Linked DNA regions of Kluyveromyces lactis. The protein of the gene in region 2 interacts with the protein of the main gene of each other region in a pairwise test. Links are inferred from orthologs where the notes say so. Each region holds a gene or a part of one and is shown on either strand. Other genes may lie near its edges. The genes, in order: GTS1, RVS167, ACF2, DSS1, VPS1, VRP1 and AIM3.

Region 1 (3,070 bases), on a different chromosome or scaffold from region 2:
TTACAAGGGGGGGCGTTCTTATTTCTTATAAATGGTTTTTAAGGATCAAAACTTAGTTTGTAATAAGTCATTTTGAACTTTATATAGAAATAAAGAAACAAAGAAGGAAAGACAGATATATCGCAGAAAACGTACACAGTAAAGGCAGTGGAAAGACACTGGTGCTTGGTGGAACGGTTTTAAGAAAACGCTCGTTAAGTGCAAATAAGATATGATTGGTTATGAGTCAATGGGAGGTTTTTTTTTTGATGGTCAGTAAGATAATAGTGGTGATAGCTAGGTAGTAAGTAGATCGTGGATGTTCCGGATAAGAGTGTATAGCAGACGTTGTGAAACGTCAGAGGAGGAAGACAAAGTTAGATATTAGTTGTAGCGGTGTTTTGGTTTTAGCCATATTTACGTATTATATAGGCAAACATAGGTATGAGAGATTAAACCGTAGTGCGGTAGCAGATGTGCAGTTGCAGCTGCAGCTGCAAAGAAGGCCAAGGGATGATGATCTATTGGAATGGGGGGTAGAATTGTTGTTGGTACTGTTGTGGTTGTTGGTATTGCATTTGTTGTAACTGTTGTTGCTGCAGGAGCTGTTGCTGTTGCTGCTGTTGTAGCTGCTGTTGTTGTAGCAGTTGCTGTTGCTGCTGTTGTTGGTCCTGCTGTTGTTTTTGGAGATTCAGGATCTGTTGGTATTGTGGATTATCCGGTTTGATTTCTACGGCACTAGAATATAAATCTGGTCTTTGATACAGTGATAATAGTGTGTTCTTATCTATCGATGGTTGAGCAGTGAATTGAGGCTGTACCTGTTGGGTGAACTGAGGTTGTAATTGCTGTGTGAATTGGGGTTGCACTTGTTGTGTAAACTGAGGTTGAACCTGTTGTGTAAACTGAGGTTGAACTTGTTGTGCCAATGCTTGTACCTGGGCCTGCTGCATTGCCGCATAGGAGTTTTGATCTACATAAATTTGGCCGGTAGTTGGATCATAGTATTGTTGTACCCCATCGAATACTGCTGGGCGAGGTTCTGCCGATGCTGTACTAGGTAGGCTTGGTTCACTTGTTCCATCGAAAACGGCTTCTTGCACTTTGTTGTCCGGCCTTTTTGGAAGCGGAGGTCTGTCTCCTTCTCTTGATCTTGGTCTACTGCTGGCAGATGAGGCAGAACGGTTTCTTCTGGACCCGGACGCAGATGATGGGCGGGATGACTTGTAGTCCAATTGTGACGAATCATCCTCTAGATTGAAATCTTCCACCTTGACAGCGGTATGTCTGAACTTACCCTTTAAATATTTATCCCTGATAAACATTTCAACGGCAGTACGATCCTCGTCACCGTCAAATGGGAAAGGTTCTTTCTTAGGGTTCCAAAAACTGCTGTTATGTTTGTTTCCTCCAAGATCGGCAACAGTTTGAACGTCACGCTTAGACCATCTATCAAGAGATAAAGATTTCACGATACTAGTAGCACCATCTTCTCTGCTGCCTAACACTTTCCTATGTACGGAAGCACACCGACCGCACAAGAATACACCCAAGTTCACTGAACAGTAGGTAGGGAATGGTGTCCCACATTCACCACATTTATTTGAATTCTCACCAGCGTTAAGCAAAAACTTTAAATCATGTTCTACAGATTCACCTCTTGATCGTCTCATTTTTGGTTTCCTCGCTTCAGTATCTCCTCAATAAACCTTACCTAAACTCGACTAGTCCAATTTGGGACCCCTATTTGATATAAACGTAATTCTAGCGTTGGGTCTTTATAATCTTATAATATGAAGTATTTTTTTTTATTTTCAATATCCGTTCTTCACTTTCACCATTTTATGCTTCGTTCATTCATAGAACTTCTGTTCCTGTTCGGAATTTCAACCGCATAGAATATTTCAAGAGCTATTTTTGTTCAACAAACGTAAGTCTATTGGAAGCAGTCAGTACGATATACCATCTTGGATACCTTTTGAATAATGACGTGATAGACAGGCTTAAGCTATGTACTATCATATTGCCTCAGGAGAGTTTATTCTCACGTGGTCTGTCATTTAGCCGGAGAATAGGATCTATTTTAATGTTTCGTATATAGCAGCTAACCGCCTCCCCAATTATAAGCAACCATGGCTATTAATATGGCATCTCTGAATTGATTCAATTACTCTCGATTCTGATACTTCTTTCACCAAAATATGTTACTGTTTATAAATTTCCCCATGGAAAATGACATTTCGTCTTCTTTTATATATTTTTATCAAGGTTCAGCGGTTAAAAACAAACAGAAGAAGAACCATCATCACATCAAAGACATCAGCTTCAATTAAGTCTATTAAAAGGTTCAAATAATTCAACATGGCCCCAGGTAAGAATACCGTTTCGCTTGCCGAGAAAAAAGCACGTATCCTAAGGTTTTTCCAAGAAGAACATACCGTATACAACATGAAGGAATTAGAGAAATATATCCCCAAGAAATGTGGCATATCTTCCATGTTAGTGAAGGTATTAGTACAAAAGATGATTGATGAAGATGGATTGATCAGTGTGGAAAAGTGTGGGAACATTAACGTGTATTGGTCTTTCAAAAATCAGATGCAAAATAAGTTGAATAGCGACGCCAGTAACATAGAGAAAAGAATAGAGCATGAGAAAAGTGAAATTGCTCGGTGTCAGGAATTGTATCAGAAGGAAATTCAAGGCCAGAGGAGTGATACGTTGAAGAATAGACGCGGCTGGAAAAGAAGTGCACAGCTAAGTAAATTGAAAGAGGTTCAAAAGACAATTCGTGAATTGAACTCCAAATATGAAGAATTATCCAAAAATAACTGGACTCCACAGCGCATCAAACAGGAGAAACATAATTTGTTTGAAAAGGCAAGTTTTGCTGTAGGTCTTGCAGATAACATTGATTGCATCACTGGGCATATCTCATCTACGTATTGTGTTCAAATGTCTGATTTGAAAGTTGAGTTGGAGCTTCCTAATGAATTCAATCAATTTGAAACAATACTTGAAAAGTTGGGTCACCTTTAGTAACGAGAGGTAAGCAGGGTTGATACATTGGATACTATATATACATATACGA
Region 2 (3,012 bases):
AATTTCCAAACTATGAAAGTTTAAATCCTTTGGATTCATTGCTATTAAAACCCCAGAAATTACACCAGTATCGTAACCGAAAAGCATCCCACCAATTGTCGAACTAACAAACATAATACCCGTCCTCCATGTGAATGGGTATGGTCGTTGTTCAATATCATTTGCAGTGGTGGTGGTCATCTGAGAGAAAGTGGAGTACAAATCCGAATACACATCTTCGACACTGCTATCTCGCTGCGGTGAGGAAGATCGTACAATATCGTCCACCATAATACGGTACCAGGTTAAGAGAATATATGCTGGATTTTGCTGTCCAACGGATTGTAAGAACGCCGCTCTATGAACAGATCGGTGGGATATTACAGCAAGTGTTTAAAGTTTGTAAATCTTTGTTCGAGCCTTGGAGTCAGAAAATGGTTTAAATCCCATTCGGTAATTTAAAGTGTCATTTACTATATTAAGACATTAAAATGAAAAGAGGACAAACAACATCTCCAATGACAGTAACTTCTCGAAACTACTTGTAATATCCATAACGAAACAACCGTTATGTAAAAATATACCTAACTTATATCCTACCAAGAATCTTGCTGCACTTTATGTACCTTGCTCCACAACTATTCTCAACCGAAGGGTACATTGACTATTAGCCTAGAGTCAGCAGGCCTAAAAAAAAACAAGGTCAAGCTTGCAGCATATTTGAGTGATACGCACTCAAATTACAACCAATAGGAGAACCAATGGGCGTTAATAACAGTATAGACCATCCCCTTAACTTTTCACAAGCCTACTGCTCAAATGCATTGGGCCAATTTCCGATGAACTAAGCCAAGCCTTTTTCCTTTCTGTACGCTTTTGCCGATGCACAATACAATTTCAAAAAAATTCAAACTTTGGACAATTTCAATTTCATCACTTTGGAAGGGCATGTAAAAGGGGCAAACTTGAAAGGCAACTGAAGCGGTATATATATCTAATCAGCGTGTCAACGAGTTGTCTGTTAGAGCAAATCTGAACTTAAATTAATCTTTCGAAGGACAAACAAGCGTCTTTGTCGAGGGAAAGAAAGTTAATTTATTATAAGGGCAAAGAGAGAGAGCACTCAAATAAAAAACACGAAGAACGTGAATTTAAACAGATAAAAAGCGTTAAGTTTTGAAGTTTAGAGCGTATACAGCGAATAAGAAAGCAAATAACAATCAATATATTTTCCCCCTAGAGAGTCATGTCGTTCAAAGGTTTTACAAAAGCTGTCGCCAGAGCACCCCAGTCTTTTAGGCAAAAACTGAACATGGGTCAGCAGACTGTTGATCCTGTTTATGAGGATGCTGATCGTCGTTTCAAGGAATTGGAATCGGAAACGAAGAAGTTGAGCGATGAGTCAAAGAGATATTTCAATGCCGTGAACGGTATGCTAGAGCATCAAATTGGATTTTCTAAGGCAATGTCGGAAATTTTCAAGCCAATTAGTGGTAAGATGTCCGATCCCAATGCCGCTGTGCCAGAAGACAATCCAGAAGGTATTGAAGCGAGTGAGCAGTACAGTGCAATTGTTTCTGAGTTGCAAGCTACTTTAAAGCCTGATCTAACTCTGATTGACGAGAAAATTGTTAAACCAGCACAAGAGCTTTTGAACATTATTAATTACATTAGAAAGATGTCCACCAAGAGAAACCATAAAAAGCTAGATTTGGATAGGAGCTTGAACACGTACAACAAATATGAACAAAAACAGAATCCAACGCCAAAGGATGAGGAGAAAAAATATAAAGCCGAGGCTCAAGTCGCCGTAATGCAACAAGAATACGACTACTACAACGATATGTTGAAAACTGAATTACCTATACTTTTCCAATTGGAATCAGAGTTCGTGAAACCATTATTTGTTTCATTCTACTACATGCAATTGAATATCTTCTACACCTTATACAACAGGTTCCAAGACATGAAGATCCCATACTTTGACCTGGATACTGACATCTTGGAGGCATTCCAAGCTAAAAGAGGCAACATTGAAGAGCAAACAGATGCACTAACCATTACTCATTTCAAGCTGGGATACTCGAAGGCCAAACTAGATTTAACCAGAAGAAGATATGGTGCTACTGACGACTCAAGTCCTGGAAGTCCAATGAGCCCACCCGCATACGGCCAAACATACGGTCAGCCTGAACAGCCACAACAGATGGGCTATGACTCAAAACTACAACAGCCGCAACAGCAACAACAGTATCCAATCGGAGGTGTTGCAGGTGCCGCTGGTATCGCAGGATACAATTCGGTGCCCACCACTGCGACCCAGGCATCATACACTCCTCCCACTAGTGCAGGAGTGGAGACATGTACCGCTTTATACGATTACACGGCCCAAGCCGAAGGTGATTTGACGTTCCCTGCTGGTGCCATAATCCAAGTCGTGGATCGTTCCGATGCAGCAGGATGGTGGGTCGGTGTCTACAATGGCGTCCAAGGTGTATTCCCTGGGAACTACGTCGAACTATCGAAACAATAATGAAAACAAAAGAAAACTAATCTCTTGGTCACTTTCCATTCCCTTTCTGCTGTGTATAGACTGAACTTGAAAAAAATAATAAAGCAAAAGAAAAGCTCTCCTAGCCTGTAGTTACTATATACTCTAACCTTGTTTAATTCAAGAATGCCCCATAGCTTTTAAAGGATACAGAATGCACATCACTATCGACGGAATTGACGATATTTGGTCACCTGGCAATAGTCAGACATTGCTTCATGGAGACGAAAGGGGTTCGTCAGAACCCCTGTCTACATGCCCCTATATTTCTACACATCACCAGTAGCAGAGCCAGCCACTAAAATCACACTGGTTTCCAAGCACACAGCAGGTAAGATGGAAAAGAATTCCATGAGAAAGTACACTAAGCCTTACTGCAGGAACAGAAAGAGATACGTCTCTATATATACTTAAAACCAGCTATGTATTTCAATGCAACAATTAGCTCCCACCATCACAACTGCTCCCACTGCAGTGCACAC
Region 3 (4,293 bases), on a different chromosome or scaffold from region 2:
AGGTTTCGTCGTATCTGGAACTTTTTTGGTAAAACCTCTAAATCTGTTTTAAGGCAAAGTGATTCGGAGTAACTTGTAAACCAGAAAAGCGTCAAAGCTTGCAAATTCCACCTTTGGTTAGTCATTGCATTCACCTGGTAGTCCTATGTGTTGCAGTAGGCTTATTTTGAGAAAGGATTGGTTAAAGACAGTGGAAACTGGTAGGAGGACGGTAACCAGGGAAACTTTCAATATATTACCTAACAATTAACTAAAAACAGATCTACGTAAATGGAGAGAACTTGCAAATTACATAAATGAGTGAAGTAGTTAACATTGGAGAGAAAAACCCCCATATGACTTTCCTCCTTCGTGTTTGAAATAGTATGTCCATGTGAACTCAAATGAAAGCGCCAGAATATGTCAATGACCAGGTCTTGCTCTGTCCGCCGTCTAGGTATGCGTTTTGGAAAGCACTACTGTTAAAGAAGTTGAATGATGTAGCTGGATCATATAATGCAACATTTAGCATTAATATACCTCTCCAGCCATCCGTGACATTATTGACAATTGGAGCTAATAGTTGATCCCATTCCTGTTTCACAAATTCAGGTGATCTGGTGAAAGACGAAGCCGAAGTTATTGGAATTGCATGGATCATTTGGATGTATTCCAAATTGGTACCAAAGTATGTAGTATGATCTATCTTATTTTCAAATAAGATACCACTAACTTTATTTGGAATAAATTGCGTTGGCTGAGTGGTGTTGTTGTCAAGGTATAAGAAGTAGTTGTTCAAGGAAGTTTTCAATACACCTAGCATCAAGTTACCAATATTTTCCAAGTTGCTGTTGCCACTGACTAGACCCCATAGTTTCAATGCATAAGCTGCGTTTACGTCTTCCGATGAAGATTCTTGATCTTTACCGTCACCGCTTTCAAATAGACCTTTTGCCCAAGAATGACCATTGAACCAGTCAAAGGATCTAAAAACAGGGAAATATTTATCAGTTTCAGATGGATTTGCGTAGTCTCTGATTAAGTTCTCAACCCAACTCTTGTTATCATTGTACCAGGAGCCAGAACCAATATCTTTATCGACTTTAGCAACAATAGCGGCAGCAATTACATGATAAGAGTAATGGAAGTGGTGATCATTGTAGTATGAATTACCAAAATCCTGGGAACTATCACCAGAGGAGATGATACCATACCACGTTTGATCATATCTCAAGGGCAAAGTCTGTGTGTTAGAAATGAAGCGTCCCAAGGCAGATTTTAATTTGGGTAAAATTGTGGAAACTAAACTCGAATTCTTCAAGATATATTGGCATACGTACAAAATCCACGCATATTTAGCCAAAGCTTTACCGGAAAAGTACATTGAGTCGAGGTTACTTTCTGCCACGACATCACCAGTGACGTCGTTTGCGGCAGCAGCGTTGATAGCGTTTAAGACATTCGTAGAGTAATTAGGACCAGATTTATTAGCAATAGTAGTAAATGGATCGAACTTCAAAGCTGAGGGTACGGTTACTTTCATTGCCAATTCATTAGTGAGATAACCTTGAGCTTGACCCTTCGTTGTAGTGTCTAATTTAGAAATAACAGTTTTAGTTCCCTTAGAGGAATCGAAGTTTTGATAATGATGAGGCAAAGCGTAAACTAAAGGATAACCACTATTAGAACTACCTTGTGTACCGTATTTTAATTGGTAGCTACCACTTGTCCCATCAACAGAACCTTCCAAAGTACATGAATTAGCATAACAGCCTGCGGCATTATCAATGTTTTGGTTGGAATCCGCAACGACTTGAAAAACGCATCCGTTAACAGAGTTGTTACCAACGATAGTATTCCCATTCGATAAGGCTAAAGATAATGATTGACCAGATGGAATGGTAACATACAATGTCCAAGTGACATTGTTCTCGAGCAATATCTTGTACTTGTTAATGCCAGATCTTGGTGAAGTATCACCAGTGATACTTTTGAAACCAACAGCAGAAGACAATCTTGGGATTAAATTATAGTAAATAGCAGTAACAAATCCCATACCTTGAACTAGAGGAAAGACAATAAATTCAGTGTCAGATTTTTTCAACTGAACATCCACTGATAAGTGTTTGATGTTGTAAAATGCCAACGACATGTCTCCAGCAGAATTGAAATCAGTTGACGAATAGACTAGCGATTTGATACCCGTAGGACCAAAGAAAAATTGAGGTGGAGTCTTAGTGGTATCAAAGACTCTTTGGGCTGCGGTAACCTGATTTAGAGCTAAACCATAGTATGAATCAGTAGAATACCAAACTGAGTATGGATGGGTCCAGATTGGATTTGTCCCACCACCAAGCATGATGTTCCCATAAAACTTGTTGGTTTCAGTTGGTTTACCGGAATTGTTAGTCCCTGAAGGGAGTGGCACCTCATGATTTACCTTTGAGAAAACAGCCAAAGGTGGATCAGTGGAGATTGGCGAAGAGAAAACGTTTGTTGCCGAGATATTAGCAGACATTAGTTGATTAGTTACTTCATCCATTGTGTTAGTAGTTGACCGAGATGTGTTATTAGGGACCACCGTTTCAATTCCCTGCGTATTTGGCCTTGCAGGCAACGGAGGGGTGTTTCTATTCCAGACATAATCTCCAAAAGCTGAATCCTGAGTTCGTCTAGGAGGAATTCGTGGTGGTACCTGTGGAGGGGGCTGTAAGGGTATTTGTGAATTGGAAGATAATGGATCTGTTTCAGCATACGGAGGGGGGATCGGATCTCTCTGAAAACCATTTGGTATATTCACCCCAGGTCTCTGATACGACATACTTTGGAATGTTTAAAAAGAAGGTATAATTATGTGAAGTTGGGGCTCGAAGACTGTATTCTTTGTTTAAGAAGCAGACAGATTTCGAGTTACTTTATATTGGATAAACCATCAAAAACCGCTCTTGCAATGAACAGGATGTAAACTATTAAGTTCTCTTGTTTCAATTGGGTTCATTCGAGCATAAATTTACTCTAATTTATACTCAATGCACGACTCGAGGCTCGACGTTCCTGACACAAATATCAATGGAAAAACTCAGGCTTTTTTGCTTTCCAGTGATTCAAGTGACACAATAATCAATCAATTTAACAGAGTTCAAATTATCCAATTAACCGTTTACGGAGTGACAGGTCATCTCGCGTGCAATGATTATTGGTTTCTTTTCAATAAAGGGCGGTGCAGGATGCAATTGTAGGCTTTTTCTTGGAACATTTGTTCGAAAGATGATGATGATCTTGAAAAAAAAACGAATCGGTGTATTAAGAACATGAGATGAGATGAGGTAGAAGTGAAGCACAGATGAAACAGAGATGCGTGTCCTGGCTCTCATTTTTGTACGAAATGCTGGTTTGTTAGAGTATTGACGATAAATTACTCAATATCATGGGTGGTATTTCTGAAATAAATAAGAAACTAGTGGTGCAGCTTCGCCAAGAATTAAGAATAGTATACCTCATATATCATAGGAATAAGAACCAGCACGGGGCGACTGTATGGTGGAAACAGCTAAATATTTTGAAAAGGAACGTGGCACAGGCTGTACGTATAATTGAAGGCTTGGTTTTTCGAGGCGTTTGCCATGATAAACAGTTATTGAAGCTTCATTCGTTGTTGTATTCGATTTTGAAGTTACAGATAAAGAAGATGTACTATGATTTCAATGGTGTAATATCTTTGGGACAGTTTGTGACGTTGGGAGTAGTACTGATAGGAAATTTGGCACGTATTTATACGGTATACATGCACATTTATGATACGTTGGAAGAAGATTTCCGTAGGATTGGATGCATAAAGAACAATACCAGTTCTGTCAACCCTGGGATGTCCGACAACGAGGTACGGGAAGCTTTGGAATCTATAGCTGACGAAGAGATAGGGGAAGAAATTGGCGAAGATCTGGAAACAATGGCGATTTTTAAAAGTACAGATGACAACTCAAAAGTGCTAGCTGCCAGCGGGAAAAAGGACAATAAATACGGTAAAAAGAAAAAGCAAAAGAAGAAGAAGTCAGCTATTGATGATCTATTCGGTTGATTGTAGTTCCTTCGAGTATTCGAATATTTACATAATGTATATTTTTCTAGTGTTCAGTTTACAGAATTTCACAATGGATTTAGTACCTTTCTAGCCCATGTAGGTAAGACAAAAGCAGCGGAATGCATCTTGTTATTATAATATCTCATCTGAGATTGCTCATCCTCAGTTGGAGCACGACAGGGGTCAATGAGATTTGTGTTTGGATTCTTACAGCATGCGATCAACCCTAATTG
Region 4 (3,945 bases), on a different chromosome or scaffold from region 2:
AAGCTTTGTCCAAGATAACACAATGTGCATACCCGTTATCGGTCAAGGAAGTGATCTGTAACTTCCAGTTATTTTTCGTCGGATCTTCAATTTCCTTCTTCAAAAATCTTAGAGTCCAATATCTTTGGGCATCAACACTGGCGTTTTTCAAGGTAACATCCCTTGTCAATATATGCCACACCATGCCATCTAATTGTGATTGTTTATAAAGAAGCGGAAGTCCTTTTAAAGTTCTATGCAATTGTAGATGGTTTACCAAATCTGGGAAACGTCTCAACGGAGAAGTAATAGTCAAATAGTGAGAGGTACCAAGCATATCGTGAGGCGTTGGAAGACTAGAATAAAAACTACTAGTCAAAAAGGACTTCATTTTAGCAATGTCAGCTTTTGAAATGATTTTGTTTTCTTGGGTCTTGGCTTTGACCCATTCAGGAACAGATGTTGCATCCTCAACCACATTCAAGGGTCTGTAACCCCGATAGATACCTGGAATTTGGTTTTCCTCGAAATAGGACGCAGTCAAAGAATTAGCAAGAATCATAAGTTCTGAGACAAGAATTGTTGATTTTGTTTCTATTTGATCTTTGAATGAAACTTCCACCAACTCAGAGTTGTCATCAGGGGATAAAGAAACTATCCCTGTTGAAGAATTTTCGAAAACAACGGCACCACCATCGACTATCCGCTGCCTTCTCAATGCTTTAGCAATATAGAATAAAGTTTTTAGGTCTTCGTGTTTGCCAGACTTAGGCTTTGTGGTTGGTTCATCAAGCAGTTCATCCACTGCTTCATAAGTTATTCGAGTGGACTTGTGGAGTACTGACAACTCCACTTTCAAAGAATCTTTCAAAAGACACAATCCTTTACTCTTAGAAAATGTGCAATCGACTGAGAATGTAACCGCTTTAGTAGGCTTACCAAACTGACCCAAATCAGAGGACCTAGCATAAGTTGTTGGAAGCATTGGGAAAACTTTATCTGGAAGATATGTTGTAAAGGCACGTTGATAAGCAATATCAAGTACGGGAGAGTTGATCGTAGTACCATCTTCATTTGCTTCAGGAAAAAGGGAGGCTGGATCTGCGACATGGATGTAAATACGATACTTCGCACCTCCTAATGATTTGATCGACACTGCATCATCGATCTCATGGGCATCTGGGCTGTCAATACAGTAGCAGATTAGATCTTTGTACTCAGTACGGATTTCAGCCGAATGCTCAATCTTCGGTGGAACAGCTAAATCATAAATCTTTTGCTCTAATTTTACTCTTTCATTATTGACCGGCAATTGTAATTCATGATTGATAAGGAGAGGATTAGGAGGTTCGGATGGATTTATGCGTTTCAAAAGGTCGAAACAAACATCTCGGCTGATGTTGAGTTCTTTGTACTCATCAAGTTTTCTGAATAATGAGGAAATTAAGCTTGTTATAGTATCATTGTGTTCAAGATTTCCAGCTGCATAGTCTCGTAACAAGGGAACGATGTATGGGAACGATTTATTCAAAGACGCAAGGTCATTTTCGTTAATGAGGGCCGCAATTCTATTAATACGAACACCCCCATGCTGTCTGAGTTTGTGTATGATGTTATGATAGTGTAGGTGTTGCTTCGTCAAGGGTAGTACAGTTACGGCGCTTGGGAAGAATATACCTCTATGAACGGTCATTTCACCCCACATCTGTGTGCCCTGTTGATGTAAAAGAGCCCAATAAACAGCCAATAAACGAGAACACTCCACCTTATTGGGTACTTTAGAACTTAATTCAAAATGAGAGTTAGCCAAAGAGTATAGGGCATCGCTTGAGAGGCCTGATTTCATGAACGCTGTTGCAATGGATTTTTCAATGTTGTTGGATAGCTCTAAATTCGAGCAGATTTCCACTAACTTCAAAATGGGTATCTGCCATGGACTTGATCCTGATTGTAAGTATCGATGAATCAATTCTAACTTCTTTTTAATGATGGGCAACTGTTGGACAGCGGCATCTGCAATACGAAACGTAACATTAGAGATCAACATTCTCCGCGGTAGAGTTGGAATGACAAAAGTAACATCTTTATCATTTTTTACAGAGCCAACTGGACTGTAACCATGCAGCTTTTCTCGCTGCAAAATTTCTAACTCGGTTGTATTAAAAATTGTAGGGAATCGTAGATGGACACTAGTTTTCCATGCATATACCACGTTACCATCAGTATTAGCGAAAGTAAATCTGGCATCCATGGCTTCAGACGGCGTTTTAACACACACTAGTAATTCAAACGGGGAGTTTTTCAATACGCAAATATCACCTGGCATTAACGTCGATGATACAATAGCTGAAGGATCGAAATAAAATTCAATTTCCTGTGTATCATAACCATTATAGGTATTGTTCCTTAGCTTATAGTTATCCTTAGAGAGCCATTTCAAAGTTTCTTCGAATAAAGTCGAGGATGAAATATCATTACGCAGCAAGTGCATGAATTCATCTTTATCCGTATTTTCTCCATGTGATTTCCCAACTTTTCTATACCAATCGATTGATGGTTGAACAAACCGGTCATTGAATCTCATCAAAGTTTCCGCCTTGGTTCGCCTGAACGGTTTAATTTCCACTTCTGGTAAGATATCTTTATCCTGCGAGAAGAATATCACTTCTTCATCTTCTTGTAGAGACTCTGTAGTGACATTAGTCCCTGATGTATCACTTTGTCTTGCTTGAAATAAAGGTACACCACTATGCATATATCTGCGATGAGCCAAGAACCTAGCAGCAACACGAGGCCGCCTGATTGAGAAAACCGACGACATATGAGTTTTTCAAGTGAGGAACAACTAGTAGATAGTGTTGGAACCAAAGGAGAAAACCTAGAAAGTATGATCGGCAAAGTGTTACTGAGTGATGAGCTAGACTTTCCAATGTGCCAAGTGTAAAATGCCTTCTATATTTTCATTTTCATTTTTATTCAATGGGGCTCTATGCGATTTCTCTTAAGTTTTTCTCGAGTTTATTACCCTGCCAAGTGAAGGACCCGATATGACACACCCGGGTAACGTTACATAGAATAGCACGTGATTTGTGATATTCGGCTCTTCGGTTTTCGATTCCAGATGTGGGAAGGGTGGGCTGGCTCCGCACTGAAATTTCCTCCAACATCGGCACCTCACGGTGAATGTAATCCTATGAAATCCAGTCCTACTTATCTAAAACATTAATGTAGACATTAGACTGTGACACTTTAACTGTTGAAGATAGCGGTCTCAAGCTATAGAGTGTACACTAACTTGGCGAATTCTGTTGGCTTTTTTTCTATGCTCAGGTAGCAGGAATAACGCGAAAGAAAAACGACTTGAAAAATACCGGTGCGGGGTACCCTGCTACTTTCTTGGTGAAGATGAAGCCAATGGAGGGGAAAAACCTTCAACTAGCTTACACCACTCAGTGATCGACCCCACTAATTTCTTTTCTACCGTGATTGTCCGTTAGTTACCTTTTGTCGAAGAGAATTCGGTAAACTACTGGCATTTGACGTTTGGCAGTAATATTTAGAACAAAATAAAGCGCTCCTTCGGACATTAGACCAAAAGACAGCAAGTAGGAGCGATATGTAGGCAAAGAAAAAAAAGGATAAATTCCTCGCCGTTAACAACTAATCTAAATACCACTGTGACATATATCGGAGATTGCAATTCCAAACACTTCAAGTTTCGGATACTGAACAAGCAAGGTCCGAGACAATATAAAAACTCCGACAGGAAAAGCGTGAGAGCAAGACAGAGTGAAAGTGCTACTAACTCTGTCACCAACTCTACCACTGCCCATCACACTCACAGATTTTAACTAATTATTGAATAGTCGTATCCAAAGCATATGCTTGATATATTGATGATAATATAGGAGTTTGCAACCACGGAAAAACCCCTACGAGTAAACTTACCCCACCACACCCACACAC
Region 5 (3,866 bases), on a different chromosome or scaffold from region 2:
AAAAAGTGAGAACATTTATCATAAATTGGAATAGTTCACTGTCGATAAAATTCAATATTAGAGATCATAACAGCATCCTGCAATCTATTAGTTAAGAGGCTTATCATCTATTTCCTGGTTGAAAATGTTTAAAGATTTGATGAGTCTTCGTAATTTTCATTCAAATAACTGTGAATCACTGTGAATCAAGACAATATACATTGAGCGTTAGCATGGCCAATATTTGTCACCAAAAAATTACTAGCTTTAGGAAAATAGGATTTGAAAATGTTACATGCCAATACAGAATAATAGCTAAGTTAATAGAACGAAACATACATTTAATTCGGAAGCAAGATAACGATGACAAAAAAAAAATTAATAATTCTGATATTCTTTATCAATGATATATATCACTATTTATTTCACTAATCTATAGGCAGAGCAGCCAGAGAAAAAAAAAAGAGGAAATGAAATGGAGGGAAAAACAGTTTCAATTTATAAATACAAGCACTTAATATTCAAACGGATGAAACAATCTCACTAGCATGAGTTAGAATATTGACCATCTTTTGACATTCTTTCCTTCTTTGGGTAGTCAAATCACTTTCCTTCGTTAGCTCGTCAAGATTTTCGCTGCTGTATAATTTCTCAAGTAGAATCTTTTGAATGTCATTTTTACTCTTAACGATTAATTTTAGCATAACAGCCTTTGGAATGAAGTCTGCCACGGATCTCTTGACGATGCTGAAATAGCTGTCGATAAGTAATTTAATAACTTCCGTTTCAAGTTTTTCCCTTTCAGTCATTTGACCAGTGGCTTCTAAAACATTTGGTGGATTTTCCAAAACAGAAGCTCTAGTCTTACTCTTCGATGAGAAGAAACCACCAAAGAAACCAGATGGTCTAGTTTCTTCGGCTTTTACAGGTTGAGCAGCAATCGGTTTACCGGTCTTTGGATCCACTTGGCGTGGATGTAGTCTTTCTTCAACCATAGCCATTGCTTGAGAGCCCTTTAATAGGTCTGGATGAGCTGTATTGATATAAGTTTGTTCAGATTTTATGATGTCGACGACAAAGTCATTAGTTGGAATGACCGCCTCTTTCAGGAATTGAACGAAGTTATTCGAGATAGCATCTCTTAGGCTTGGGTATCTGCTGTATTTTGGTTGGTTGATAATCTGCTTTAGTATACGGACCAATTCATCGAAAACTAAGTTGACCAAACGTAAAGAAGGTTGTTCGAACCTACTAATTTGCTTCTTCACCAAGACTTCAAATGCTTCGGTACCCACAAACAAAGAAGGCGCTGAACCAGAACAATTGTACATAATAGTTCTGATATCGGAGTCCTTAATTTGATCGAATGGATCCAAGGCGTAAACACCATTCTTGAAGATTTCATGGAACACAAACGAGACTCTAGCACCACCTGATAGTTCTTTACTTGTAAGCTCCCTTGCTTCACCATCCAATATACCTGTGTATTCCTTTGAGAAGTCTGTGATCATGCTTAGCACGATGGAACTGGAAGATGATAGGGATTCTGGACCCAAACTTAACAATTCAGTTTGATATTTCTTCAAAGTGACCTCAATCTTATGTTTAATATCTGGCAACGTTTGTCTGATGTGATGCAATAGAATAGAATTTAACTTCTTAGTTAAATATGGGGTACCACAGTACAGTGCTCTTGCACTGTACGATGGATGGTTCTCAAAGAAACGTTTTTCGTCCTCTAACGCAGATCTAATTGTTTTATTCTTTTCGATATCTTTTTGACCTCTATTGATTACTGGGATATAACCAAATTTCAATGGGATAACTCTTCCGGCCAAAATATCGATGACATCTGTACCTTCATCCATCAAATCGACTTTAGTTAACACACCGATGGTTCTTGATCCATCGGGATCGACTTCCCTGGCCAATTTCAAACCATCACTGTTAGCCAAATCAGCATTAGCTGGGTTCACTGCCAAGATAATAGCGTTAGGTTTCTTGATGTAAGTCAAGATCATATCCTTGATTTGTCTTTCGATATCAGCTGGTTGATCACCAACAGGGACCTTGGTCAAACCGGGCAAATCGACCAAGGTTAAAGTTAGCACATGTGGCGAATATACTCTTAAAGTGATTGGAACCGCAGAAATCCCTGCATTCTTCCCGGTACTCTTATCGGTCTCCAAAACGATCTCTTTTCTAATTTCGTTAAAGTTGAAAAGCTTTTTACCGGGCAAATGACCAAACTCACCCCATTCTTCTGCATTGTCTTCATTTTGACCACCATTGGCTGCACTGTTATCCAAATCTAACAGCTCTTCTGTAGCATGCTTAGTCTCCTTCTTGACCCTACGGTTGATCAATTGTAAGATCAATGGTCTTCTGGTAACAATACCGGTACCACGAGGCAAGAAATCTCTACCGACAATGTTTTCCAACACAGAAGATTTACCAGAACTTTGAGAACCAACAACGGTAATTTGTGGTAAATCAATCGGAGTCTGAGAACCGCCGCCTAATGGAGCCAAAGCATCCTGTAACTTATTGATCGTAGCAATCAAACGTTCATCCATGTTGCCAGTTTATTTACTCACAGTATTGGGCTTGATCTCAATTACAATTACAAATTGAGAATTCAAAATATATCTCTGACCTAACCGATTAACTTTGGATGTAGTAAAGGTATATATAAAAATAAATCTCTCTAGATATTTGGAATATCTCTCTCGAGTTGACTAGAATTGATTTTGATTTGATGTTTTTCTTGTTTTTCCCCTTTTTCGCCACCAAAAGTTAGAAAAAACCAAGTATTACCCGGAAATGGTTAGATCTGCCAATCTAACTGGATCCAGATCGTATCCAATAGATAGCACAGTCAGTGAGCCTATTTAGCCAGTAGCCTCTTATTCAAATTAACGGGGAGAAGAGTTTCCAAACGAACTACAAGGGCCCATATAAAGGCCGACTTTCACTGTCAATGGGATAGTTTTCTTGTTTTTTTCGGATGCCGTTACAGATCTACACACGAAATACAAAGGTTTTGTAATCATCAAATATCTTGATTCTTCCATATCTGGATTTTCGTTTATATATATGCATATACTTCCAATTGAATTATTGTTGGATAAGATTTACAGGAAATTGAACATACAATTTGCAAATTCAAGCTCGCTCATTCTTATGATTGGGGTCTTTCACGTAATTATTGATTTTTCCTGGGTCTTGAAATCGATTTTGAATTTTTCTGGCTTTAAAAATTTAGTACAAAATGAAATAATATAACAAAGTGTGAACTTTTGAACTTACTATACCTTTTATTTGGTTTGAGTGTGTGAACAGGAGAAGCTAAAGTTAAAACCAACACTACATATCCCTTTGGTCCAAACTTGCCAGTACCTTCAAATTGAACTTCTTAATTCTTTCATTCGCTGGACACTCCTGAGACAGAATTGGTAAAGGAAAGAAATAAAGGGAAACGGAATTCTCAGACAATACAATATTAACTGGCTGATTTTTTTGTCTACACACATATACACACAGTCTCTCTCTATCTGAATATAACTGGATAGTTTGTGCTAGTTACGTTTTTAGTTCAAATTAGTGACGAGCACATCTTTTGATATTGGTCACCTGTTACCAACAACAACAACAACAAAAGAAGTTAGTGTCAGACTCACAAATACTGAAAAAAGCCTTTGCATTGGAACTTTGGTGTATTAACTCTCGGAGATTATACACATCCGACACTTATTTGATTATCCTCATCACGAATTAACTTGTGAGGAGTACTTTTGACGGTTCTTTCTGATCTAGGAAGACGTAGCAAGTCAAAACTCATTCAGGTTGTCGACTTCAGTACAAGACGCACAGGTTTTCAAGGACAC
Region 6 (3,646 bases), on a different chromosome or scaffold from region 2:
CCTGGCTCCGGTGAATTAGCAGCTGGGGCCGCGACAGATATTTCAAATACTTCAGCTGACCAGCCACTGTTGATTCCTGGATCTAAGACATACTCTAAGTCTGGGCCTGCTGATGTCGAAGAGCTAGGCCGTTCTTCTTGGACTTTGTTACATACGATAGCTGCCAAGTATCCGAATAAGCCATCGGACACACAGAAACAAGAAATGAAACAATTTATGACCATATTCTCTCATGTTTATCCATGCGGGTGGTGTGCTAAGGACTTTGAACTATTTATAAAAGAGAACGCACCCAAGGTTGATTCAAAAGACGACTTAGGTAGATGGATTTGTGCGGCACATAATGAAGTTAATGAGAAATTGGGAAAGGAGAAATTCAACTGCGATTTGTGGAAGAAAAGGTGGGTAGATGGGTGGGATTAAGTGTTATACTTCTTCCTCTTCCACTCGTCTAGGAATGCTTTCATTAATATCTTATATAGTTCTTACTCATTATAAAGTCATGTAAATACAGTAAAATCTAATGGAACACTTGAACCTCTGCCACTTGGATATAGTTTTCTTAAGCCCAAGAATTGTCTCGGTTTGGGGAGATCGTTTCTGTTAGACCAATCGAATTTTGAATCATCAATGGTTATTCCACTGTTATTCAGCTTTATTCCGGTCGTATCTTGACTTCCTTCTATTGTGAAATCTCCGACATCTATTTCAGCAGCATTTGTGTAAGGGTTAGTAGATTGAGATGGTCGACTGGCTTCATTACCAGATGAAAAAAGTCTGTGTTTGAAGAAACCTTTTGATGAGGAACTATTTGTGCGTTCCACTTGAGGTTGCTGATTTTGTTGAAGAGATTCCTCTGAGGCTGCGGGTGGAGGTGGTGGAGCTTTGGCAGAGGGAAATGAAGCGGCTTGTGGAGGAGGGGAAGGAGGAGCCGTTGGCGCACCCACTGGTGTATGACTATTCTCACTTTCGATAATGTGAGAATCATCCCTTCTGCTTTGTATTGATGCCAGAAATGGTAATCCTCCGGCTGGAATAGATGGTGCTTCAGAACTTGGGGTAGATTGAGGCAGCGTAGGTGCATTAAAGGAAGGAGTAGGTGGGGCCGGAGGGGCAGGAGGGGCAGGAGGTGCAGGAGGTGCAGGAGCCGGTGGGGCCGGAGGAGCAGCAATTGAAGGTGGAGCAGCAGGAGCTGGAGTTGGTGGAACCGAAGGAGCACTGAACGAAGGAGGAGCCGGAGGAGCAGATGATGAGGGAAGCGGTACCTTTGGAGCGGAAGATGCTGTATTATTCGACGCACCATGTCCTGTTCCTTCAACTACGAATCTGTCATCTCTCTTTCGTTGAATCTCCGCCAGGAATGGAAGTCCTCCAGCTGGGGACGGTGCAGATGGTGGTGGTTGCGGCGTGGACGTTGGGAATGATATGCTTGGAGGTGCAGGTGGGGCTGCAGGAGGGGTACTGATTATGGGAGGTGCTGGAGGTGCTGGAGCTGGAGGTGCAGATGTAGGAGGTGCAGGCGTAGGAGGTGCTGGTGGGGCCGCAGGAGGGGTGCTAATTGTGGGAGGTGCTAGAGGTACTGGAGGTGCCGGAGCTGGTGGCACGGCTATAGGAGGAGCTGGAGGTGCAGGTGGTAACGTTACAGGCGGAGCAGGTTGTGCTTGAACCGGAGGTGCTTCTGTGCGTTGTCTTGCTGGAGGATGTTTCGGAACCGGTGGTGTGTTCATCATGGGTACTGGTGGCGGACTTGTTGGAATTGCCGGTGCTGCCATTGGAGGAGGAGCAGGAGGAGCCGCCACTGACGAATCACCCTCACTTCTCAAAGTCTTTTTACGCTGTGGTCTATTAGAAGGAATTTTTGGGATTGAAGAGCTATCCGGAAGCGGAGGAGCTCCAGATGGAATAGCTGGTGATTTAGAGGAACCCGAAACATGTTTTAATTTAGGGATCCCACCAGCAAGTATATCTCCCAATTGAGGGACACCGGGAAGCTGAGTTGGAGTCGGGATCGATGGTGCTACAGGCGGGACTGCTGAGCTCGATACTGATACAGAGTGGCTCATCGAACTTGATCCTCCAATCGCAGGTGCACTCTTATCCACAGTGTGTGCTTTCTTAAGTTTTGCACCTTTCCTAATATCACTCAATAAGGCATCACGTCCTGGAACAGCCGCTGGGGGTGGGACAGGAGTTGCAGCGGAGCCAGCATTGGATGAATTTCCGCCAAACATAGGCGGAGGAGGTGCTGGTGGTGGAGGTGGACCAGCCATATTATTCTAATTTCTATGTTCAGCAAGTTATCTATAACAAAGTATGCTCAAATCCTTAAGTCTTATAGAACTTTTAGCGGAAACACACTGGTCAATTGGTATCGCTATGATTCTTTTCGAATAACTACCTTAAACGCAGTGGACCCCTATGCACTGCAACAGTTTGTTTCTCTCTGATTTGACGTTTCTTTCATTTTTAAATAGCTAATTGATATCTGGAAGCCTCAAGGATACCCGGACACTACACTTTCCACCCAGACACTACACTTTCAGTTCGGTGCTAAATCAATAATCAAGAAGAATACGGCAATGCAAGACGATTCTATGATACTACTACAGTACGAAGTTCACTGGACCTCTTCATGATTTCGCGGTAGCATCGGCATGTAGTAACTAAATGAGGAACATCGTTTTAGTGGAGTGCCATTCCCAGTTACCAGCCCTATACGAATAATTTACCAATATAATATATTCGGGTAACATTTTGGTATTGGACCTTGTCTTAAAAAAGTTTTCAAAGGCGATCAAGCATCTTAACAACTTACTATGTGAAGAAGGTACTGAAATCTATATATCATGTACACTATCTATAGCTAGTACCACCACCATCGGGGATTGGATTAAAAATTGAGCTAATATATTCCACAGCAAGATGTAATACGTTGTCAATTCTTTGTTTTGTTAGTGACAGGTGTCCTAACGCGAAGTAATGCATTTTCTGTCGTCGTTCTTTTAACTTAGCTAATGGAATCCGTCCTCATAGTATATAGATTTTAAGTGGCATCTTCGAAGATCCGTGCGCAGTTTTTCTTTCAGTGGTGCATGGATTCAAAGCGATGCCCAAATTGAAGATAAATTCACAGCTTCTTGCTGTGTGTTTCCCTCGTTTCTGTGGATTTTCCTCTGTTGAATGCTAAAAAACATCATCACGAATTTTCACGAATGGTTTTGGATGCATAAATAGCGTCCTTTACCCAGGAAACTGGGGCACATCTCTAAATCGTATGGTATTTTGTGATTCGAACCTTGGTTACCCAAAAAGCCTTATAATTTAGTCTCGGAAATGAACTTCTTGCACATGGTTTCGTATTCCAGACTTGTGAGGGAATGTCTTCTCAATCTTTCATAAAAATATCTATTCCGCGATAGTTTAATGGTTAGAATTCGCGCTTGTCGCGTGCGAGATCGGGGTTCAATTCCCCGTCGCGGAGAAGCTTTTTTATTTTTTCGTCACTGCATTCACATTCGACTCAAGCTCTATTAACAACACTCGTTAATTTAAGAGTATCTGTCAATATTGTTCGTTAAAGTTATTTACAACTTTCTATGTAATGCTGATTCAAGCATTTCAAGCAATGCTGGCCCCCACTCGGGTT
Region 7 (4,224 bases), on a different chromosome or scaffold from region 2:
TGACGGTTGAATCTGGTGGATGTCACGGATTTCAGTACAATTTGAAGCTGGTACCGGAATCTGACAAGAAAATCGGTAACCAGGAACAAGAAACCGATGACCTGAATGACGAAGATGATTTTGAGACTGTTAAGGATATCGTTTATGTATTACCTGATTCCATCGGCGAAGTTGTTATTGATGAGCAGTCCCTAAAGATTTTGAACGATACCACTCTCACATATAGTACCGAATTAATCGGTTCCACTTTCAAGATTACTGGAGGAAGTATGACCAGTAGTTGTGGATGCGGTAGCAGTTTCGGTTTAGACCAGGAAACATGATGTTCTTGCTTTTTTCAACATCCTATTTATTATAATGCAGTGCATGACCCCACTCCCCCCATATTGATGGGCTAATGACTTATATTCAAATGACATTTTACATATATGGTAATGTGTATAGTTAAACTATGAGGTTCTTACATCCTAACAAATATTCTAATAGAACACCATTGGCATTTGATGAGTCTGGTTGCTCGATATATGTCGATCGCAGTGTCACTCTCTGCTGGACAATATGTACTGTTTTTATTGGGAACTCTTTCGAGATCCCTAACCTATCGCTTAATAATTTAGGTAAAAGATGCAAACCAGCGGGGAAATCGCTGACGTTCACTTGGATTTGAAATTGATTCAATAACTTGGTGTCCCTAGTCATATAATCGATTTTCACAACGTCCATATTGGATGTAATTTCTGTTAAAAACTGGTATACAGTCTCATTGTCAAGCTGTAAGGGCACCAGGTACACCTGGTGTTTGCTTAATGTCTTTGTAATCCGATTATCCTGTTGACTATTAGTACAACATACTGTATCACTCAAAAATACACGTAATTCGTCCTCAGAATTATCTATAAGCCAAATTCCTTCTTCACCATCTATATCAGCCACATCAACATTGCAGAACTCACGCAGATCTTCAATGAGCACATCGATCCGAATATCATCTGGTGAATGATAAAAATACCATCGCTCCAAGCCATTCATCTTTCGAGAAAGGAAATTATATCAATGACCAGCAATATTACAAGAGATTGACCTCTGCTTAGATACACGCTTCTCGGTCCTGGGAAACGACAACTTACCCCTGCATTCTTTTCATCTTAGGGTAGTAGTAACCTTTAAACCTTCATGTAGATCGGCTCTATGCCTTTAACAGCTTAAATAGTGAAAATCAAAGGTTTTGAGAAAAAGATTCAAACTGAACAGAATTTGACTCCTAAACCGAAAGGGAAATAAAGGAGAAGCAAGAGTTTGGACCGGTATAAATCAGTAGTTCGTTAGTTATACATTGTATAGCGCGATTGCAGAACATCATTATAATACGGAACACTCTTTCGTCAGCGGTGGCAGTTTTCTCAAGTCTTTGAAGCGCCTTATTCATGAGTAATTTTTGGGATAATAACAAGGGCAGTATTATGTCTGGTCTGGCAAGCGCCGGAAAATATGGTTATCAGGGCACGAAATATGTAGCAAAGGCAGGGTATAAGGCCAGTAAGACGCATTATAACAATTCCCAAGGCAAGAAGAATGTTGAGGAGAGTTCCGATGAAGGCTATATGAGCGAATCGGCTTCAGATTTGTCTCATTTACAAGATCCTAAGATGTTTCCACCGCCTCCTTTAAAACCGGGACAGAAACAGATATCCAGTGATGGGACTGTCATTGATGCTGGTAACGCTCCTCTGGTGCATACTGCTGCTGTGCCGATGGCCAATGCTGCTTCACACCCAGGGTTGCCTCCAAGAACACCGACAGCGAACAGTATTCCTATGCTTACTCAGCAACAAACGTATCCTCCGCAGAATATGTATCAACAACAACCGCCACCACAACCGCCAATGCAACAGCAAGTACCACCACAAGTACAGCAAATCCCACAGCCAGGGCAGCAGTTATCGCAGCAGCCAATGCAGCAGCTTCATCCTGAACCAATTCCTCCAAGAAATTATCAGACTGCCGTAGAAACGCCCCCACAATATACCCCTATTCCATCGCTTAATGCACAACACGTACAAGAACAACTACAACAGCAGTTACAGCAACAGTTCCAACCATCAATGGGTACCCCTGATCAAGGCCAGGCATTAGTCCAAGGCTCTCCCTTGGCGTCGCAACAGCAGGTTCAGCCGCAGGTTCAGCCGCAGACCTCACAATATCAGTCTCAGCAGGTACCCTCGCCTCAGATTCAAAATCAAGGGCAACTAATGCAACAGCAACAAAACTACTTTCAACCTCAACTGCAGCAGACTCAGCCACAGCAGTATATCGATTCCTATGCTCAGTACCAGCAACAAGGGCAGCAGCAAGTTCAACCGCAGATACAGCAAATGCAACCTCAGGTTCAACAGCAACCCATCCAACAACCTCCGCAAGCACAACCGCAGTATCAACAGTCATATCCGCCACAGTACCAACAACAAACCCAATCTTTGCAGCCACAATATCAACAACCAGTTCAGGCTCCTATTGTACAGCCTCCCATTCCTCAACAGGATTATTATCAGCAACAGCAGCAAACTCCTTACCAACCTGCATCTCAACCTCAAATGTATCAACAACAGCCAGGGCAACAAAACCCCATTGTATCTCCAGCTCCTGCACTTGCGCAAAGACCAAGTCTCTCCAATATCCAAACATCTACTGGCCATGGTGCATCTCAAGAATCTACAGTTTCATCAACAGCTTCAATTACCGTTAAACCATACGTTTGGATGGATTCTGATGAACGGAAGGAGAAGAAGAAAATTGAGCTGCAACCTGTGAGTGCAATTGATATTCATCAAGTGACACCTCCTCTCCACAAGGATAGGTCATCTTCTTCAAGTTTGAAGAGTTCATCAAGGGACGCATCCGTATTGGAGAAGGGGAAATCACTTTCACCAGGTCCTGCACCTTTGCCTTCAAGGAATGTCAGACCACCTACATCTGTTGATCATACCAAACCAAACACTGTGACCCCAGCTGCAGCAACTGGAACATCAGCTGAAGTTGGTGATGACCAAGTTAGACCCAATGAAAGTATCACGGGAGTTTATCATGAATCTACTGTATCTTTCCCACCTCCGCCAAAGCCAACGCATAACGGATTGCCAATGTCACCACCTGTATCGCATGCTCGTCCTACAGTATCACATAAGCCACCAAATCCTCCACGTCCTCCTGTGTCTTCGAAACCGACATTACCTCCGATTCAAACTCACCAGCGCATTACCTCCACAGAACGTGCTCCCATAGGTAGACCCAAAGAGGAAGTACATCAAGCTGCGGTGTTAGGTGCTTATAACTATAATGTTGACGTTGGTTTCGCTCCTCCCCCCAAACCACCGAGATCAATGGTAACTTCGCCAGCTAACGATCCTCAAACTTCACTTTCGTCGCGCAGACCTTCCCAAGAGTATGGTGGAGTTGCTAAAGCTTCATCAAGAACGTTGCCGCCGCCGCCGGGACAACAAAATGGCTCGTTGCCCCAGCATACAGAGGAAGAACCAGCCTCCAATAGTTCAGAAAGTGCACCACCTGCCATGAGAATGTTACCCCTAGCAGATTTACCTCCTCCTCCACAGAGGACTGATTCTCATACCACCACATCCGAGCAACCGGCAGTTCCAAGTAGAACTTTTGATCCACCTCCAAGATATTCCACTAATGAAACTATTCCTCCAACTTATAATATTGATGAAGACATTCAAACGGCACATAAGAAACCGCCTCCAAAAGTGCCAAAAAAGAAGGTATCATTAAGGGCAGGAAATAAACCACCTGTCCCCAAGAAAAAGGCTAGTTTGTCCGGTACAGCCACTCATGAACATAACGAGTCAGCCCGCACATCGTTAACGCAAGAAACTAATAACAGTATTGATGATGACGATGATGACGATTCTGGAGAAGGTAATTCTTTCAGGAAGTATTTGAGGCATGTAGTTCCTGCAGAAAGGGATCATATTCATAAGTCCAAATAACTTTAAACACATTAGTGGCATTTACTCGCATCGCAAAAAAAAATAAAGAGTTTTATAAACAGTCATACACCGAGACAGCATACTTACCACTGAAGTCCCGTTAAGGGCTCAAAAACGCGGCTGCAAATTATATAATTATTTATAGATAGGGACTAAAGAACACGCATTATCATTATTCTTTTTAGTGTTTTACATTTCATCTTATTATCATTTAAGCTAT

What was found.
Region 1: the proteins of RVS167 (region 2) and GTS1 interact in binary tests that used the Saccharomyces cerevisiae proteins (3 or more experiments, as listed by UniProt). The link is inferred for Kluyveromyces lactis from reciprocal best matches to the Saccharomyces cerevisiae genes RVS167 and GTS1.
Region 3: the proteins of RVS167 (region 2) and ACF2 interact in binary tests that used the Saccharomyces cerevisiae proteins (3 or more experiments, as listed by UniProt). The link is inferred for Kluyveromyces lactis from reciprocal best matches to the Saccharomyces cerevisiae genes RVS167 and ACF2.
Region 4: the proteins of RVS167 (region 2) and DSS1 interact in a two-hybrid assay, tested with the Saccharomyces cerevisiae proteins (2 studies listed by BioGRID). The link is inferred for Kluyveromyces lactis from reciprocal best matches to the Saccharomyces cerevisiae genes RVS167 and DSS1.
Region 5: the proteins of RVS167 (region 2) and VPS1 interact in a two-hybrid assay, tested with the Saccharomyces cerevisiae proteins (2 studies listed by BioGRID, with this or other methods). The link is inferred for Kluyveromyces lactis from reciprocal best matches to the Saccharomyces cerevisiae genes RVS167 and VPS1.
Region 6: the proteins of RVS167 (region 2) and VRP1 interact in binary tests that used the Saccharomyces cerevisiae proteins (3 or more experiments, as listed by UniProt). The link is inferred for Kluyveromyces lactis from reciprocal best matches to the Saccharomyces cerevisiae genes RVS167 and VRP1.
Region 7: the proteins of RVS167 (region 2) and AIM3 interact in binary tests that used the Saccharomyces cerevisiae proteins (3 or more experiments, as listed by UniProt). The link is inferred for Kluyveromyces lactis from reciprocal best matches to the Saccharomyces cerevisiae genes RVS167 and AIM3.

The regions. Positions count from the first base shown.
Region 1 is NC_006039.1:1,495,827-1,498,896, reverse strand, and holds GTS1 (Gts1p), read right to left. Parts: upstream 1,653-3,070; coding exon 501-1,652; downstream 1-500. Other genes in the region: MND1 (Mnd1p), read left to right, coding at 2,341-3,018. UniProt on the Saccharomyces cerevisiae protein: Appears to modulate the timing of budding to obtain an appropriate cell size independent of the DNA replication cycle. Transcription factor involved in both heat resistance and flocculation.
Region 2 is NC_006041.1:280,318-283,329, forward strand, and holds RVS167 (amphiphysin), read left to right. Parts: upstream 1-1,225; coding exon 1,226-2,512; downstream 2,513-3,012. Other genes in the region: CIN10 (Cin10p), read right to left, coding at 1-270. UniProt on the Saccharomyces cerevisiae protein: Component of a cytoskeletal structure that is required for the formation of endocytic vesicles at the plasma membrane level.
Region 3 is NC_006040.1:1,445,417-1,449,709, forward strand, and holds ACF2 (endo-1,3(4)-beta-glucanase), read right to left. Parts: upstream 2,801-4,293; coding exon 380-2,800; downstream 1-379. Other genes in the region: RMP1 (Rmp1p), read left to right, coding at 3,407-4,057; SPE4 (spermine synthase), read right to left, coding at 4,126-4,293. UniProt on the Saccharomyces cerevisiae protein: Cleaves internal linkages in 1,3-beta-glucan.
Region 4 is NC_006039.1:556,620-560,564, forward strand, and holds the start of DSS1 (exoribonuclease II), read right to left. Parts: upstream 2,801-3,945; coding exon 1-2,800. UniProt on the Saccharomyces cerevisiae protein: Essential for mitochondrial biogenesis. Required for intron-independent turnover and processing of mitochondrial RNA. Participates in 3' mtRNA processing where it hydrolyzes single-stranded RNA or partially double-stranded RNA with 3' single-stranded tails.
Region 5 is NC_006038.1:1,164,432-1,168,297, reverse strand, and holds VPS1 (dynamin-like GTPase VPS1), read right to left. Parts: upstream 2,556-3,866; coding exon 501-2,555; downstream 1-500.
Region 6 is NC_006038.1:537,163-540,808, reverse strand, and holds VRP1 (Vrp1p), read right to left. Parts: upstream 2,271-3,646; coding exon 501-2,270; downstream 1-500. Other genes in the region: ERV1 (flavin-linked sulfhydryl oxidase), read left to right, coding at 1-423; KLLA0_B05995g (heme-dependent oxidative N-demethylase family protein), read right to left, coding at 3,585-3,646. UniProt on the Saccharomyces cerevisiae protein: Involved in cytoskeletal organization and cellular growth. May exert its effects on the cytoskeleton directly, or indirectly via proline-binding proteins (e.g. profilin) or proteins possessing SH3 domains.
Region 7 is NC_006038.1:826,647-830,870, reverse strand, and holds AIM3 (Aim3p), read left to right. Parts: upstream 1-1,424; coding exon 1,425-4,004; downstream 4,005-4,224. Other genes in the region: ISA2 (Isa2p), read left to right, coding at 1-323; KLLA0_B09482g (uncharacterized protein), read right to left, coding at 445-1,029.